2 linked regions of the Anolis sagrei genome follow. The protein of the gene in region 1 purifies or fractionates together with the protein of each later gene. This does not show direct contact. Links are inferred from orthologs where the notes say so. Each region holds a gene or a part of one and is shown on either strand. Other genes may lie near its edges. The genes, in order: PPP1R7 and UBXN2A.

Region 1 (8,250 bases):
TGCCATGGATCAATACTATGGAGTCCTGGGAATTGTAATTTGGTACCATCCTACTTTGGAGAAGGAAAACATATTTTATAAAACGACAGCTCTCATGATTCTGTAGTACTGATCCATAGCAGTTAAAATGTGGCCAAACTGCATTAAACCTACAGTGCAAGCACATCCTGAGTGTATAGAGTATGCATACCAATGCATCCATATTCAATGGCAGAATGCCACTATTGTTTCCATCACTGAGAGTAGGATAGCCAAGAAAAGCCTTCATTCTGTCTCCCTTTTTTTGGAAGCAGCTCATTTTTAATCTGACTCTTTCTTAGGCCCTTTTCACACAGTTGCATAAAATCCCACATTATCTGCCTTGAACTGGAATATATGGCAGTGTGGACTCAGATAACCCAGTTCAAAGCAGATATTGTGGGATTTTCTGTCTTGATATCCTGGGTTATATGCCTTCATGGAAGGGCCCTTATGCTTTTTAGACAGGCTTATCCATAAATGCATGAATGTAATATATAGTAGGCTCTCATTTAAACGGCACTCAAGCAAATGGCAAAATGATAATAAAATAAATAGAATTAATTATAAAAGCAAATAAAGGCAATTTATAACACAGTAAAAACAGTAAAATTGTGTTCTATTGAGTTTGTCTTTTATTTGCTTCTAATTACTGTATTTCAACATGAAGTCAATACAGAGTTTATGGCATTGGTATAGTATGGTGAGCCTTTTAAATATATAACTCTCAACCAACCAGAAACTATATTTATCCGGCATGGGTGCGTATTAACTGAGGGCACTTCCACACAGCCATATAACCCAGAATATCAAGACATAAAAAAATCCCACAATATCGGCTTTGAACTGGGTTATCTGGGTCCACACTGCCATATAACGTGTCCAGAGGAGGGCAACTAAAATGATCAAGGGTCTAGAGAACAAGCCCTATGAGGAGAGGTTTAAAGAGCTGGGCATGTTTAGCCTACAGAAGAGAAGGCTGAGAGGAGACATGATGAAGGCCATGTATCCATATGTGAGGAGAGGTCATAGGGAGGAGGGAGCACACTTGTTTTCTGCCGGCCTGGAGACTAGGACGCAGAACAATGGCTTCAAATGGATGTCGAGATATTGGGAATATAGATATTTATACATATATTGTATATACATTAGAAGCACTGAAGTATAGAAAAATCAGGTTCTCTCTGTATGAGGAAGCCAAGCTGACAGGACAGAGGAATGCTGAAGGAGATCTGTGTTGAAAGGGGAGGAGAAGGGGGGGTATGTTATCTATACACTACAAAGACTAATATAGCTTAGCACAGGCCATATCTTCTTACTTCTAAAAGTAAGGAGTTTCTCTCCCTCCCTCCTGACAGGTCAAAAGTAAGCCCCTGGTGGATCTATGTAAGCTGAATTCTAGTTATCTCTATTGCTGTAAGCTGCTTTAGAAAAAAAATATAGAGACATGCCCCTTGCATGTAGGAAGATATAATTTTATATGTCTATGATGCAAAAGTGACATAGTGATGATTTTATGTATGTAGAAGCATGTTTCTTTGTTTACCTGCATTTGAAGATGTATATAAGGTAAAGTCAATCCTTTATTGGGGCTCTAGTTGGCTTTTGGACGTGATTCCACGCCAGGGTCTCAGCTGAAAATAAACATACCTTTTCCGCCTCAAACAAAGGATCGCTCTTGGTATTATCTCTCCTATCAGCCATAACAAAACTACAGGAAAGGAGATTCCACCTGAACATTAGGAAGAACTTCCTGAGTGTGAGAGCTTTTCAGCAGTGGAACTCTCTGCCTTGGACTGTGATGGAAGCTCCTTCTTTGGAGGATTTTAAGCAGAGGCTGGATGGCCATCTGTCAGGGGTGCTTTGAATGTGATTTTCCTGCTTCTTGGCAGGAGGTTGGACTGGATGGGCCATGAGGTCTTTTCCAACTCTATAATTCTATATTCCAGTTCAAAGCAGATAATGTTACTAACAGAAGCGGCGCTCGGGGAGCATACTACTCCTCTGTTGTGCCAGCTCCACTGGCTGCCAGTTTGCTTTGGGCACAATTCAAAGTGCTGGCTTTAGCCTATAAAGCCCAACTTACCTGTCCAAATGCATCTCCTCCTATGAACCAACTAGGACGTTAAGATCATCTGGGGAGGCCCTGCTCTCGATCCTGCCTGCGTCACAAATACATTTGGCGGGGTGAGAGACAGGGCCTTCTCAGTGGTAGCCCCTCAGCTCTGGAACACCCTTCCAAAGGACATCAGATCAGACCCCTCGCTTTTAACATTCCGGAGGAAAGTTAAGACCTGGCTGTTTGAGCAAGTGTTTGGAAATCTTTAAGGCAGTGTAATAGACATAGGAATATGGAACGATTGGATGACAAGACTGGACCTTGTTTTTAACTAGGAGACGGAAATGTTTTATTGATCTTATTATGATTATATATTATATAGAATCATAGAATCCTAGAGTTGGAAGAGACCTCATGGGTCATCCAGTCCAACCCCCTGCCAAAAAGCAGGAATATTGCATTCAAAGCATCCCTGACAGATGGCCATCCAGCCTGTTTAAAAGTTTCCAAAGAAGGAGCCTCCGCCACACTCCGGGGCAGAGAGTTCCACTGCTGAACGGCTCTCACAGTCAGGAAGTTCTTCCTCATGTTCAGATGGAATCTCCTTTCTTGTAGTTTGAAGCCATTGTTTCATGTCCAAGTCTCCAGGGAAGCAGAAAACAAGCTTGCTCCCTCCTCCCTGTGGCTTCTTCTCACATATTTATACATGGCTATCATGTATCCTCTCAGCCTTCTCTTCTTCAGGCTAAACATGCCCAGCTCCTTAAGCCGCTCCTCATAGGGCTTGTTCTCCAGACCTTTTATCATTTTAGTCACCCTCCTCTGGACACATTCCAGCTTGTCAATATCTCTCTTGAATTGTGGTGCCCAGAATTGGACACAATATTCCAGGTGTGGTCTAACCAAGGCAGAATAGAGGGGTAGCATTACTTCCCTAGATCTAGACCAGGGGTCCTCAAACTAAGTCCCAGGGGCCGAATGCGGCACTCCAAGGTCATTTACCCGGCCCTCGCTTAGGGTCAACCTAAGTCTGTAATGATTTGAAAGCACACAACAACAACAATCCTATCTCATCAGCCAAAAGCAGGCCCACACTTCCCATTGAAATACTAATAAATTTGTATTTGTTAAAATTGTTCTTCATTTTAATTATTGTATTGTTTTTAAGGTTTTTTTGCATTACAAATAAGATATGTGCAGTGTGCATAGGAATTCATTCATTTTTTTCTAAATTATAATTCGGCCCTCCAACAGTTTGAAGGACTGTGACCTGGCCCTCTGTTTAAAAAGTTTGTGCACCCCTGATCTAGACACTATGCTCCTATTGATGTAGGCCAAAATCCCATTGGCTTTTTTTGCTGCCACATCACATTGTTGGCTCATGCTTAACTTGTTGTCCACGAGGATCAAGATCTTTTTAATATGTTAATGTTTTAAATGTTTTATGTTGTTTGGGCATTGAATTTTGCCTCTGTAAACCGCCATGAGTCGCCCACGGGCTGAGAAAGGCGGTATACAAATATAGTAAATAAATAAACAAACAAACAACCAATAAATAAATGTGGGATTTTTTTTTCAGCTGTGTGGAAGGGGCCTGAGAATCTGCTCTATATGGCAATGAGAAACAACAGCATAAAAAAAAAACATTAACACCAGAACATGTCGCCCACAGGCTTTTTATTATTATTATTTCGTGTCAGAACAGCCAGTCAATTATATTACATTTCTAACAGAACAAAGCAAACAAACAGACATAATACAAAATTTGTGAGTTTGGTAGTTGATTAAATGTCCTTTGACCAGTATCTGGCCACTTGGAGTGCCTCTGATGTTGCCGCAAGGAGGTCCTCCATTGTGCATGTGGCAAGGCTCAGGTTGCATTTGCAGCAGGTGGTCAGTGGTTTGCTCCTCTCTGCACTCGCATGTCGAGGATTCCACTTTGTAGCCCCATTTCTGAAGGTTGGCTCTGCATCTCGTGGTGCCAGAGCGCAGTCTGTTCAGCGCCTTCCAAGTCGCTGAGTCCTCTGTGTGCCCAGGGGGGAGTCTCTCATTTGGTATCAGCCATTGGTTGAGGTTCTGGGTTTGAGCCTCCACTTTTGGACTCTCACTTGCTGAGGTATTCCAGCGAGTGTCTCTGTAGATCTTAGAAAACTATGTCTAGATTTAAGTCGTTGACGTGCTGGCTGAGAGAAGCCTCCTCGCAGGATTGCAAGACATCCGGGCGTCCCCTGGGCAACGTCTTTGTAGACGGCTGATTCTCTCACCACAGAAGCGACCAGCATGCCCACAGGCTGAGAAAGGCGGTATACAAATATAGTAAATAAACAAACAAACAAACAAATATAGGATCTTATTCAGCTGTGAGGAAGTGGCCTGAGAGTCTGCTCTGTATGGCAATGAGAAACAACAGAATAAAAAAACATTAACACCAGAACAGGAAAAAAATCCTAGATGTCCCCATCAATCGCACGTACAAACCATCCACCAAAATCCCAATATCTGGAGCAAGAAGCATCGCTAGTAGGAGCTGATGATCTTCCCATGGTATGTTACTAATGTAATCCCCCTCCTTTACTTTATATTACAGTACCATATAATATAATATATATTTTGGTGATTTAAACCCTTTCACGCTATGCAAGAGGCGACAATGCTTGGCTCCTTGCTACTGAATCCCACCACCAGCCTTGAAATCCCTGGGAAAGAAAAACTACATTTCCCATGGGGCGGCGGGGCTCCGCGCATGCGCCGGCACTCCCAAGGGAACCTCTGCGGCGAAGTGGCGCTCCCGATTGGCTGGAGCCCTCCCCGATGTGGCTTCCCATTGGCTGCCCGCGAAACTGGGGCCGATGCCGGAAGGAGGAGGAGGAGGGACTGCCAAGCGTTATGGCGGCGGCTGAGTCTGAGGGCGCGCAGGAGATGATGGAGGGTGAGTGCATGCTGCCTCTGTCCCAGGATCTCATCCCAGATTGTCTTCTTATTCCAGATTATCAGGCAGTGGAGACCCAGGGCCCTTCCACACAGCCATAGAACCCAGAATATCAACATTATCTGCTTTGAACTGGGTTATCTGAGTCCACACTGCCAGATAATACAGTTCAATGTGGATTTTGTACAGCTGTGTGGAAGAGGCCTCAGATGGGAGCGAGGGTGCATCTGTACTGTGAAATTAATGAGGGTTGACACCGCTTTAGCCACAATGGCTCAATGCTGTGGGATCATAGGAGTTTAGTAAGACCTTTAGGCTTCTCTGCCAAAGAGGGCCAGTGCCTCACTAAACTACAACTCCCAGCATCACATAGCATTGAGCCATGGCTGTTCTAGCGAGATTAACCCGCTTTAATTCTGCATTTTTGTGCTGGGGCAGCTCCTTTCATTGCCTGCCACCATCTCTACATCATGCATGGGCAAACTTGGGCCTTCTAGGTGTTTTGGACTCCAACTCCCACCATTCCTAACAGCCTCAGGTCTTTTCCTTTTCCCCCTCAGCTGCTTAAGCGGCTGAGGGGGAAAAGGAAAGGACCTGAGGCTGTTAGGAATGGTGGGAGTTGGAGTCCAAAACACCTGGAGGAAGGCCCAAGTTTGCCCATACCTGGTCTACACTGTAGAATCGATGCGTTTTGACATCACTTCAACTGTTAATGACTCAATTCTATGACAGCCTGGGAGCCGGAGTTTTGCAAGGGCTTAATTAATCCTTCTCTACTTAAAGAGAAATGCAGTAGTTCTCCTTGCATTAGGTAGATAGTACTCCTGTTGTTTCTTCTGCTGTTGCTGTTTCTGCATTTCGGGCGCATCCCCACTGCAGAATTAATGCAGTTTGAGACCACTTCAACTCTCCTGGCTCAATGCTATAGAATCCTAGGATTTCCAGGACCCTTCCACACAGCCCTATACCCCAGAATATCAAGGCAGGAAATCCCACATTATCTGAGTGTGGACTCGGATAACCTAGTTCAAAGCAGATATTGTGAGATTTTCTGGCTTGATATTCTGGGATATAGGGCTGTGTGGAAGGGCCCCCAGTTTGAGGAAACACCAGCACTCTTTTCAAAGAAGGATTACTAGGATGATGATAATATGTTGTGTATTTATATGTTTTCAGTAATTGCAATTGATCTATTTTAAGTTATGTTAATTTGACCTATGTTTTGTTTTAACTGTTACTGTTAAACTGTTTAAACCGTCCTGAGTTCCTTCCGGGAGAGGAGGTGGGATATAAATAAAACTTATTACTATTTGATACACAACAAGATTAGTACACAGCAAACATGATCACTATGCTGGCTTTTGTATTGGATCACACCTTGGACACTTCCCAAGTGTCTTGGACTATGTGATGTATCGGCAAATAATGCATGCAGATCTGAGTTGGGTGACCTTTTAGTTGGCAGATGGTGATTTTGTCAGCGCCAATTGTTTTTAAGTGCTGGTCAAGGTCTTTAGGCACTGCACCCAGTTTGTCAATCACCACTGGGACCACCGTTATTATGAATAATAAACATTATTATTATTATTATTATTTTACTGACACAAAAACAGTATGTCACAGCAAACGAGATATATATGCTGGATTTTGTATCACAAAATCACAAGTTGAACACTTCCCAAGCGTCTAGGACTGTGTGATGTATTTTCGAATGTTGCGTGCAGATTTAAGTAAAGTGGTCTTTTGCAATTGACAGATTGTGAATTTGTCAATGTTTATTATTTCCAAATGCCAGCTGAGATCTTTTGGCACAGCACCCAGTGTGCCGATAACCACTGGGACCACCTGTACTGGTTTATGCCAGAGCCTTTGCACTTTGATTTTGAGGTCTTGATAATGGCTTATTATTATTATTATTATTATTATTATTATTATCCTTCTCTGTGAAGGAGTGTTGGTGCTTTCCCAAACTAGAATACTTGTTGTTGTTGTAATTGTTGTTGTTGTTATTTCTTACCTGCTGTAATGGCAGGTTACAGCACAGATAAGAACACACAACCATTACGTAAAATACATATATTGAAACATAGTTCAATGAAATACATAGGAGCCCCCGGTGGCGCACTGGGTTAAAGCCCTGTGCCAGCAGGACTGAAGACCGACAGGTCGCAGGTTCGAATCCTGGGACAGGTGGATGAGCTCCCTCTATCAGCTCCAGCTCCTCATGCGGGGACATGAGAGAAGCCTCCCACAAGGATGATAAAACATCAAAAATCATCCGGGCGTCCCCTGGGCAACGTCCTTGCAGACGGCCAATTCTCTCACAACAGGATGCTCCTGACACGACAAAAAAAGAAAGAAAAAGAAATACATATCTTAAAATACACAGAACAAAGATTAAAATATAGCGAACACAAGATGCGAGTTAAAAAATTAATGACTGCATAAAACTACAAATCGCATGATTCCATACCATTGAGATGAGGCTGCTAAAGAGCAGCCAGACTGCATTAATTCTCCAGTGTAGGTGCACCTGGGGAAGATTTTTAGGAAGAAGCTGCATTTGACAGCTTCGCCCGAAGTCACACAATTCACTGCCTCCTAGAATGTCAACTTTAGCAGCTACTGACTCATAGCTAAGGCAACTCCTACCCATCTTTTATAGTCCTTTGCTGATTCTTCTTTATTTCCCATGAGTTGCTTCCCAAATTGAACCCTCTACCAGGCATGGGAAAACTTCAGCCCTCCCGGAGTTTTGGACTTCAAATCCCACATTTCCTAACAGCCGACTGTTAGGAATTGTGGGAGTTGAAGTCCAAGACACCTGGAGGACCTAAGTTTGCCCATGCCTGGGCTAGCCCTAACTTCAGCCTTTGCCTGCTGAGATTTACCTTGAAAAATAACAAATGGGATACTTTGTTACAGGGCAGTATAGAGACTAAAACCCAAATACTTGGTTATATATTCTTTTCTCCAAACTCAATGAGTTTGGAGAAATTTGTTCTTGATCATTATGCTTTTATTTACTACATTTCTCTTCTGTCCTTTGTCAAAGAATGGCATCTTCACTGTATAGTGGGCCCTTGATATCTGCTAGCATTTTATTCAAGGATCTCTCATGGGACCCAGAATCTGTGGATGCTCAAGTTATATATCATTATAAACATTGGCACAGTAAAATCATTAGTGTCATATAAAATGAAAAAAACAGGATTTGCTATCTGAATTTTTGGAACAAGGTATT
Region 2 (8,329 bases), on another chromosome or scaffold:
AGGATTGATCCATGATTTTGGGAATTGTAGTTCACCCACCTCCTTATGCATTTTCGAATGACAGCATTCATTTTTAAAAAAGCAAAGATTTGCTTTTTTCTAATAGCATTAAAACTTACCTAAGTGATATTACCTAACATTCAAAAACGAACAATGCCTTTTTGAAACAACCCGAGCATTGCTATTATATTATATAAGAGCCAAGATCAAAACATACAATCAGCACAGTCCTCAGAAGAAACAGATTTCCTGACCTATTTGGAGACCACAAAGTTGAATTCAACAATGACACGCACACTCATACACATACACAGTGCGAGTGTATGTTCTTCAATCTTAATTCCATCCCTTAAAACTGATCCAAAAATGAGTGTTGGACTATGACTCTGGAAACTTGGCTATGGAAACCCACTGGTGACCTTGAGCAAGTCACACTCTCTCAGCCTCAGGGGAAGGCAAAGGTCACACATTTTGCCAAGAAGTCCCCTTGATAGTGTTGCCACTGAACACAAAACAACAACAAATGCCATGCCCATTTGACAGAAACACTGAATTCCACAGAACTAGTATTGTGAGTGCCATCGACCAACAGATCACTGTGCCTCACTGTGCGGTTTTTTGTCTCACTGTGAGGTTGATAAGGGCTTAATAATAATTACCAGACCATTAATCACATTGAGGTCACTTCTTCCCAAGACTAATCGATCCCTGCTCTACTGGGGGTCTGTTTATAAGCAAACAGGCTTTGGGTCAGACTGCTTTTGGTTTAAGTGATGCCATTATTCAACAGGCGAGAAGGATGGTGCGACTTATGGCGGCCCCATTAATTTAACAGGGTTTTATTTGGGGCCCTTCTATACTGACATATAATCCAGATTATCAAAGCAGATAATCCACAATATCTGCTTTGAACTGGTTTATCTGAGGGCCCTTCCACACAGCACTATATTCCAGAATATCAAGGCAGGAAATCTCATATTATCTGAGTGTGGACTCAGATAACCCAGTTCAAAGCAGATATTATGGGATTTTCTGCCTTGATATTCTGGGGTATAGGGCCGTGTGGACCCTGAATCCACACTGCAATATATTCCTGTTCAAAGCAGGTAATGTGGGATTTTATTCAGCTGTGTAGAAGGGGCCTTAGACAAGGAATACTAAGATATGGTGTTGGCAACTCCTTCCTCTGAAAGACAGCCTGGTATTCGTTGCCCATCTCCCATCCAAGCCTTAACCAGGGATAAGCCATCTTATGTTCCAAGATCAGATGGGATCTGCTCCCTTACAATGGAAAGCCAGTTTCAGGCAGAATCAGAATCCCCTTTGAACTTTGATGGAATTTGAGCCCATATAGAATTCAGATTATCTGCTCTGAACTGGATTGGATGGCAGTGTAAACTCATATAATCCAGTTCAAAGCAGATGTGGATTGTCTGCTCTGATAGTCTGGATTATAAAGCAGCATAGAAGGGACCTCAGTCTGACCATATGCCTGTGTTTCCTAAAACTCTGGTCCTCCCAGTGCTTGGACTTCAACTCCCAGGATCCCTGAACAAGCTGGCTGGGGATTCTGGGAGTTGAAGTCCCAAACCTTGCAGGCCTAAAGGCTGGGAATCACTGCAGGAGGCCAACAGCATTGGGATCAAAACAACTGCAGAAGAGAATAGCTTCAGTCTGGGTATTTCCACACAGCCCTATATCCCAGAATATCAAGGTGGAAAATCCCACTATATCTGCTTTGGACTTGGTTATCTCAGTCCACACTCAAATAATGTGGGATTTTCCACCTTGATATTCTGGAATATAGGACTGTGTGGAAGGGCCCTTGGTTGCCCAAAGGTGGAGTTTGACACCACTTTAACTACCATGGCTAAGCCCTGTCTAAACTGCCATAAAAATCCAGATGATCTGCTTTGAACTGGATTATATGGTAGGGTAGATTCAGACCCCTTCCACACAGCTGAATAAAATCCCACATTTTCTGCTTTGAACTGGAATATATGGCAATGTGGACTCAGATAACCCAGTTCAAAGCAGATATTGTGGGTTATTCTATGTTGATGTTCTGGGTTACATGGCTGTGTGGAAGGGTCCTGGGATATTGGGCAGTGTAGATCCAGCCTAATAATAATAATAATAATAATAATAATAATAATAATAATAAATCCTAGACACTTGGGAAGTGTCCAAAGTGTGATCCAATTCAACAGCCAGCAGAGTGTCTGCTGAGGACTCATCTTGTTGTGTTTCAAATAACAACAACAACAACAACAACAATAATGGGTAAAGGTTTACCCTTGACATTGGGGCCTCTTCCACACAGCTGAACCAAATTATTTGCTTTTAACTGGTATATATGTCAGTATGGACTCAGATAACTCAGTTCAAAGCAGATATAGTGGGACTTTCTTGATATTATGGGATATATGGCTGTGTGGAAGGGCCCCATGAAAGAGCTTCTTCTGAATCCCACCCTTGGAAGAGATACAGGTCTACACTGCCATATAAAATCCAGTTTATCAAAGCAGACAACACACATGATCTGCTTTGAACTGGATTATATGAGTCTACACTGCCATATAATCCAGTTCAAGGCAGATATAATCAGGATGGCATACTTTGATACTCTAAATTATATAGCAGTGTAGATCCAGCCTCAGTGCTACAGACTCCTGGGGATTATTGTTTGGAGGGAAGGCTAAAAGGGCCTTGCAGAACTACAGCTCCCATAGTATGGAGTTAAAGCGGTGTCAAACTGCATTAGAGTGTAGAAGATGCACCTAGAAGGCAGCGTGGGGGCTGACTTTGGAGTCAATAAGGATAGTTTCAAGAAATGTCCCCAAATCTTTGGAATCGTTTGCAAACCCTCCTTGCCCAAGATGATGACCCTGCTCCAGCCTTGCGCCATGGCGGGGCGAGGGACGCCCCTTTCCTAAACCCTTTCCAACAACTTGGCCGCAGATCGGGACTCCCTCCAAGGCTGTTTCCCCTCCACCCCCGGCTCCTTCCCAAATCCGAAGAGTCTCCCCCAAATCCAGACTTACCACCCCCAAAACACCAGAGTTTCACCAGCGGCGAGGCAGCCTCTCAATTGCACTGCGTTGCCGGTAGGCGCGCTTGGCTTCCCGCCCACAAAAGGGGCGGGGCGCCGGGGAAGGAGCGGATTGGCTCCAGCGGGCACGTCACCTGCCACTCATCGCCCTTCCCGCCTGAGATGCAAATTAGCTACATAATAACACAATTTGCTCATGCCTGGTGTAGAAGCATCCAAAGATAAGCAAAAAAGATGCAAGTTAGTTGTACATAACACAGTTTGCTCATGCCTGGTGTAGACGCATCCTAAGATAGATAGCAACATTGGAAAAAATGTTCTGTTCCTGGTTTGAAAGTCTTATTTCCTGTTTATTTGTGTGGCACTTACTTTGAAAGTAGTTGTTCTACTCCAGAAACTTTGTTTTTGTAGTTGCCATAAACTAGGTTGAATTGGTTAGGACTCAGTGAGATACTCATTGAAAAACTATAGCAAAAAGTACTTAAAGTTTTCACAGTGTAATGAACTTTCCGCATGTTTTTATGATAGAACCAATTAGGAACCAATTAAGAAATTACATTTATAACCTAGGAACAAAAATCGTGCAATCTGGATTTTATATGGCAGTGTAGATGTTGTTGTTCTTTCGTTCAGTCGTTTCCGACTCTTTGTGACCTCATGGACCAGCCCACACCAGAGCTCCCTGTCGGCCGTCACCTCCCCCAGCTCCTTCAAGGTCAGTCCAGTCACTTCAAGGATGCCATCCATTCATATTGCCCTTGCTCGGCCCCTCTTCCTTTTTCCTTCCATTTTCCCCAGCATCATTGTTTTCTCTAAGCTTTCCTGTCTCCTCAAGATGTGGCCAAAGTACTTCAACTTTGCCTCTACTATCCTTCCCTCCAACGGGCAGTCGGGCTTTATTTCCTGAAGTATGGACTGGTTAGATCTTCTTGCGATCCAAGACACTCTCACAACTTTCCTCCAGCACCACAGTTCAATAGCATCTATCTTCCTTCACTCAGCCTTCCCTATGATCCAAGATGAGGCTTAGAATGAGCCAATAAACTCCTCTGGTGTCTGTGGGCCCTGTTGCACTACAGAACAGGAATAACCCTCTGACTTCAAAACACCACACGTTGAGTAGGAAAACAATCCTTTTTATTGAAGATAAGTAAAAGCAGCAAGGTAAAAAAAAACACTTTAAGAGAATAGATAAATCCAATTAGGTAGGAAGATAAGCAGGAACAAATTATTCCAAGGTAGGGTTCAGCAAAGTTCAAAACAAAGTCCAGACTTCTCTAATAAAATCCAAAGAACCAGGAAAACATTGATCCGAAACACGAGTATTTAATCACAAGAGATAAAGAGTCAAACCATAAACAAGAAATCCTTAAACATTAATCTTCCAAGCAAGGCTTCCATAAGACAAGAGCAAGAACTTAGCAGGATTCGAAAATGATGCTTCATTTGACTATATTTCCCACGGTTGGAACATTATATCCCCTCGTTAAGCCATTCTAAGTACTCAGAAATTGGTTTTGTTTTCCCTGAATGCCTCTCATCCTTCTCTCTCAAAGCCTGGCAGAACGGCGAAAGCCTTGGCCAAGCTGTCTGTTTTGGCTAATTTTCACGCGGCTGTCTACCTGCTCATTCGTTTCTCCAGCTGCCAAGTTGTTTTCAAGCCCCAAATCCTGGGAACTCTCCGGGAGCAATTCAGGGAGTAAACTATCATCCCTATACCCCGTAGGAACATTCTCATGGGAAACTACACTTTGAACCAGTGTCACTATGTTATTCTCTGCATTAATATCATTGACCAGACCATCGCCATCTTGACTCTCATTGACATCATTTCCCACATATAAAGCACCTTGATCTTGAAACACAATCACAGGCTGTACTCCAACAGACCCTTCCACACAGCCATCTAACACAGAATATTGTGGCGTAATGTAAAATAAATCACATGTAGTTCACATTTCATCAGTCCACACATATGCCACACAGGTGATCAACAAAAGAACAAGCAGTTTACTCTTCGTAATTCAGAACAACATATTTATAATAATGTGATCAGTTGCATCGACTCACATACTGTCCTTAAATGAGAGGTTTAAAATGGTCTTTATTTGTTCATGTGGAGAATTTTCCTCCAGCAGTTTAAGAAGCAAGAGCACACTCCAGAATTCTCTCTCTCTCTCTGCTTCTCTGCAAGCATTTGCATAGCTCAAGCCTGAAAATGTAACAGTATCCAAAAGTCCCAGGCTCAGCCAGCTTCCCGGGCATAGCCCGACCAATAATCAATCAACCAAGCAAGGCAGAAAATCCTACAATATCTATTTCAAACTGGATTATCGAGTCAATACTGCCATATAATCCAGTTCAGTGTGGATTTTATACAGCTCTTTGGAAGGGGCCTCAGATAAACCAGCTCAGAGCAGATATAATGTGGATTATCTGCTTTGATTATTTGGATTATATGGCAGTGTAGAAGGGGCCTTGGTGGACAGAGTGGAAAGACCTGCATTTGTGTTAAATAGTCCACAATACAGCGAGGGCTGCAGTGTTATTTGAAAGCCCCATTACCTTGGATTCATTGAAAAAAACAACAGGGGTAAAAAATGCAAACAGTATTTTTTGTTCAGCCTCCTAAATGTTATATATGACCATTTTCTTTATACAGGGTGTATGGAGATGCTGAATTTGATTCCACACTTGATAAAAATTGCCAACAGTAAGAAAAATGTAGGAACTCTTTTGAGCCTATAAGCTATTTTCTGGACATCATTTATTGTACCTGGAAAATCACAGTGACATGAGAGCCACTGAATGAATGTACAGTGTTTGGTTAACTGCAAAATTTCCGCTGAGATCAACAGCGATAAGGAAAGGATTTAGCAGAGTAGCGGAATTTTCCTTCCCACAATGACTCATATATGAACATGTGCTTTATGGCTTTTCAGCAATGGTTGAATACTGCATGTATGAAATGTTAATATTATTCTTAGAGTTCATTCTGTTTTAGCCCTGCAAAGGAGGAAAGGTGAGGTAAAAACACCTATAAATTTTAAGGGAGGATATAAATAATAATAATAATAATAATAATAATAATAATAATAATAATAATAATGGTTATTGGAGTATGTATTTAATCGGAAAAGCAATTGATAACCCTGAAACTCAGGCGCCTTCTACACTGCCATATAATCTGGATTATCAAATCAAATAATCCACATTGCTTTGAACTGGATTATATGAGTCTACCCTGCCATATAATCCAGTTCAAAGCAGATTTTATCTGGATTTTATATGGCAGTGTAGATGGGGCAATATGGAAGATTCTCAGATCCCTTCTACACCACCATATAATCCATATTATCAAAACAAATAATCCACATTGTCTGCTTTGAACTGGATTGATTACTTACTTATTTACTTAGGCAATCCTTCGTTGGCCGAGTAGGATAGTAATCTAGGATCAATATTCTTGTGGATCCATAGGTGACTGTGGAGCCCTATTCTTGCCCCGCATCTTCTCCCGCAGTGAGGGCATTGGTTTCCAGGTGGAAGGCAGTCTCGGTCAGGGTTGCTTGATGTGCCTTCCTCTTGGCACGTTTCTCTCTTTCACCCTCAATTCGTGCCGCTTCAAATTCTGCAGCACTGCTGGTCACAGCTGACCTCCAGCTGGAGCCCTCAAGGGCCAGGGCTTCCCAGTTCTCAGTGTCTATGCTAGAGTTTTAAAGGTTGGTTTTAAGCCCATCTTTGAATCTCTTTTCCTGTCCACCAACATTCCGTTTTCCGTTCTTGAGTTCGGAGTAGAGCAGCTGCTTTGGGAGACGGTGGTCAGGCATCCGGACATCCAGCGGAGTTGGTGGCGGAGGACCATTGCTTCGATGCTGATGGTCTTTGCTTCTTCCAGCATGACATTTGTCCACCTGTCTTCCCAAGAGATTTGCAGGATTTTTCAGAGGCAGTGCTGATGGAATCATTCCAGGAGTTGCATGTGACGTCTATAGATAATCCACGTTTCGCAGGCATATAGCAGGGTTGGGAAAACAATAGCTTTATAACCAAGCACCTTGGTATCCCTACGGATGTCCTGGTCCTCAAACACTCTCTGCTTCATTCAGAAAAATGTTGCACTCGCAGAGCTCAAGCGGTGTTGTATTTCGGTGTCGATGTTGACTTTGGTGGAGAGGTAGCTGCCAATCTGGATTTTATATGTCAGTATAGAAGGGGCCTCACCACAGTCAATGTAGGCATCTTCTACACTGCCATATAATCCAGATTATCAAATCAGAAATCCACATTTTCTGCTTTGAACTGGATTATTTGAGTCTACACTGCTATATAATCCAGTTCAAAGCGGATAATCTGGATTTTAAAAGGCAGAGTAGAAGGGGCCTCAATGACTTTTCCAACTGGTCAGGGATTAATTCCTTTTTGAGTGGAAGGCTTTATTATTGGCCAGGAAGGATGGCCCCTGGGTGATTATGCCAACTGCCTGGAGAGATAATGGGATTAGGCCAGGGTTCCCCAGGGTTGGTGCTTGTGTAACTGTGTACTTGGGTCAAAGCTTGTCTTTGGATGTCAGATGGGCTGCATTTTTTGGGGGAAAGTTAATCCTGAGATGTCAGCCAGTTGGACCCCTCATGACATCTTTCTTGGCCATGGGTTTTGGGGTCTTTTGGGGGTCTCAGGTTTCAATAACATGCCCTCTAGTACCTCTTCACCAGGACCATCACCCTGTCATGGTGATCGGGCTTGCGCGTTCCAGTTAATCTATGGATTAAGCCGTTGGGGGTCATGTACTGGTCAGCACCCAGCAGAAGTCAACCACAGAACCATGCTGGATGACCAAGGGAAGATCAACTGCAGAATTCCTGCATTTTGGAACCAAATGGTTCAATACTATGTAATCATGGGAGTTGTCATGTTACAAGGTCTTTAGCCTTCTCTGTCAAAGACTGTTGGGGCCTCATCAAACTACAATCTCAGGATTCCAAAGCATTGTGCCTTGGAAGTTAGTGGTATCAAGCTGCATTAATGCTATAGTGTGTAGACACAGCAGTATAGACCGATCTATTTCAGTTCAAAGCGGATAATCTGGGATCAGATTCTGGGATTTAGGGCAGTGTAGATCCAGCCTGAGAAACAAGGATTCAACAAGCATTAATTTGCTTTAAAACAAAATACAGGTAGGAGCTCAGTACAACTATGACAGGAAGAAAATACTTTAATAATGTAAAGGGTCACTGTAAAGTCTGGGCCCCTTTCACACAGCTGTATATAATCCAC

The links.
Region 2: the proteins of PPP1R7 (region 1) and UBXN2A purify together in Homo sapiens (affinity purification with mass spectrometry; 3 studies listed by BioGRID and IntAct, counting the BioPlex papers as one, with this or other methods). This does not show direct contact. The link is inferred for Anolis sagrei from reciprocal best matches to the Homo sapiens genes PPP1R7 and UBXN2A.

The regions. Positions count from the first base shown.
Region 1 is NC_090023.1:227,043,074-227,051,323, reverse strand, and holds the start of PPP1R7 (protein phosphatase 1 regulatory subunit 7), read left to right. Parts: upstream 1-4,798; coding exon 4,799-5,006; intron 5,007-8,250. UniProt on the Homo sapiens protein: Regulatory subunit of protein phosphatase 1.
Region 2 is NC_090021.1:139,271,449-139,279,777, reverse strand, and holds the start of UBXN2A (UBX domain-containing protein 2A), read right to left. Parts: upstream 3,122-8,329; 5' UTR 3,045-3,121; intron 1-3,044. UniProt on the Homo sapiens protein: Acts to repress the ubiquitination and subsequent endoplasmic reticulum-associated degradation of CHRNA3 by the STUB1-VCP-UBXN2A complex in cortical neurons.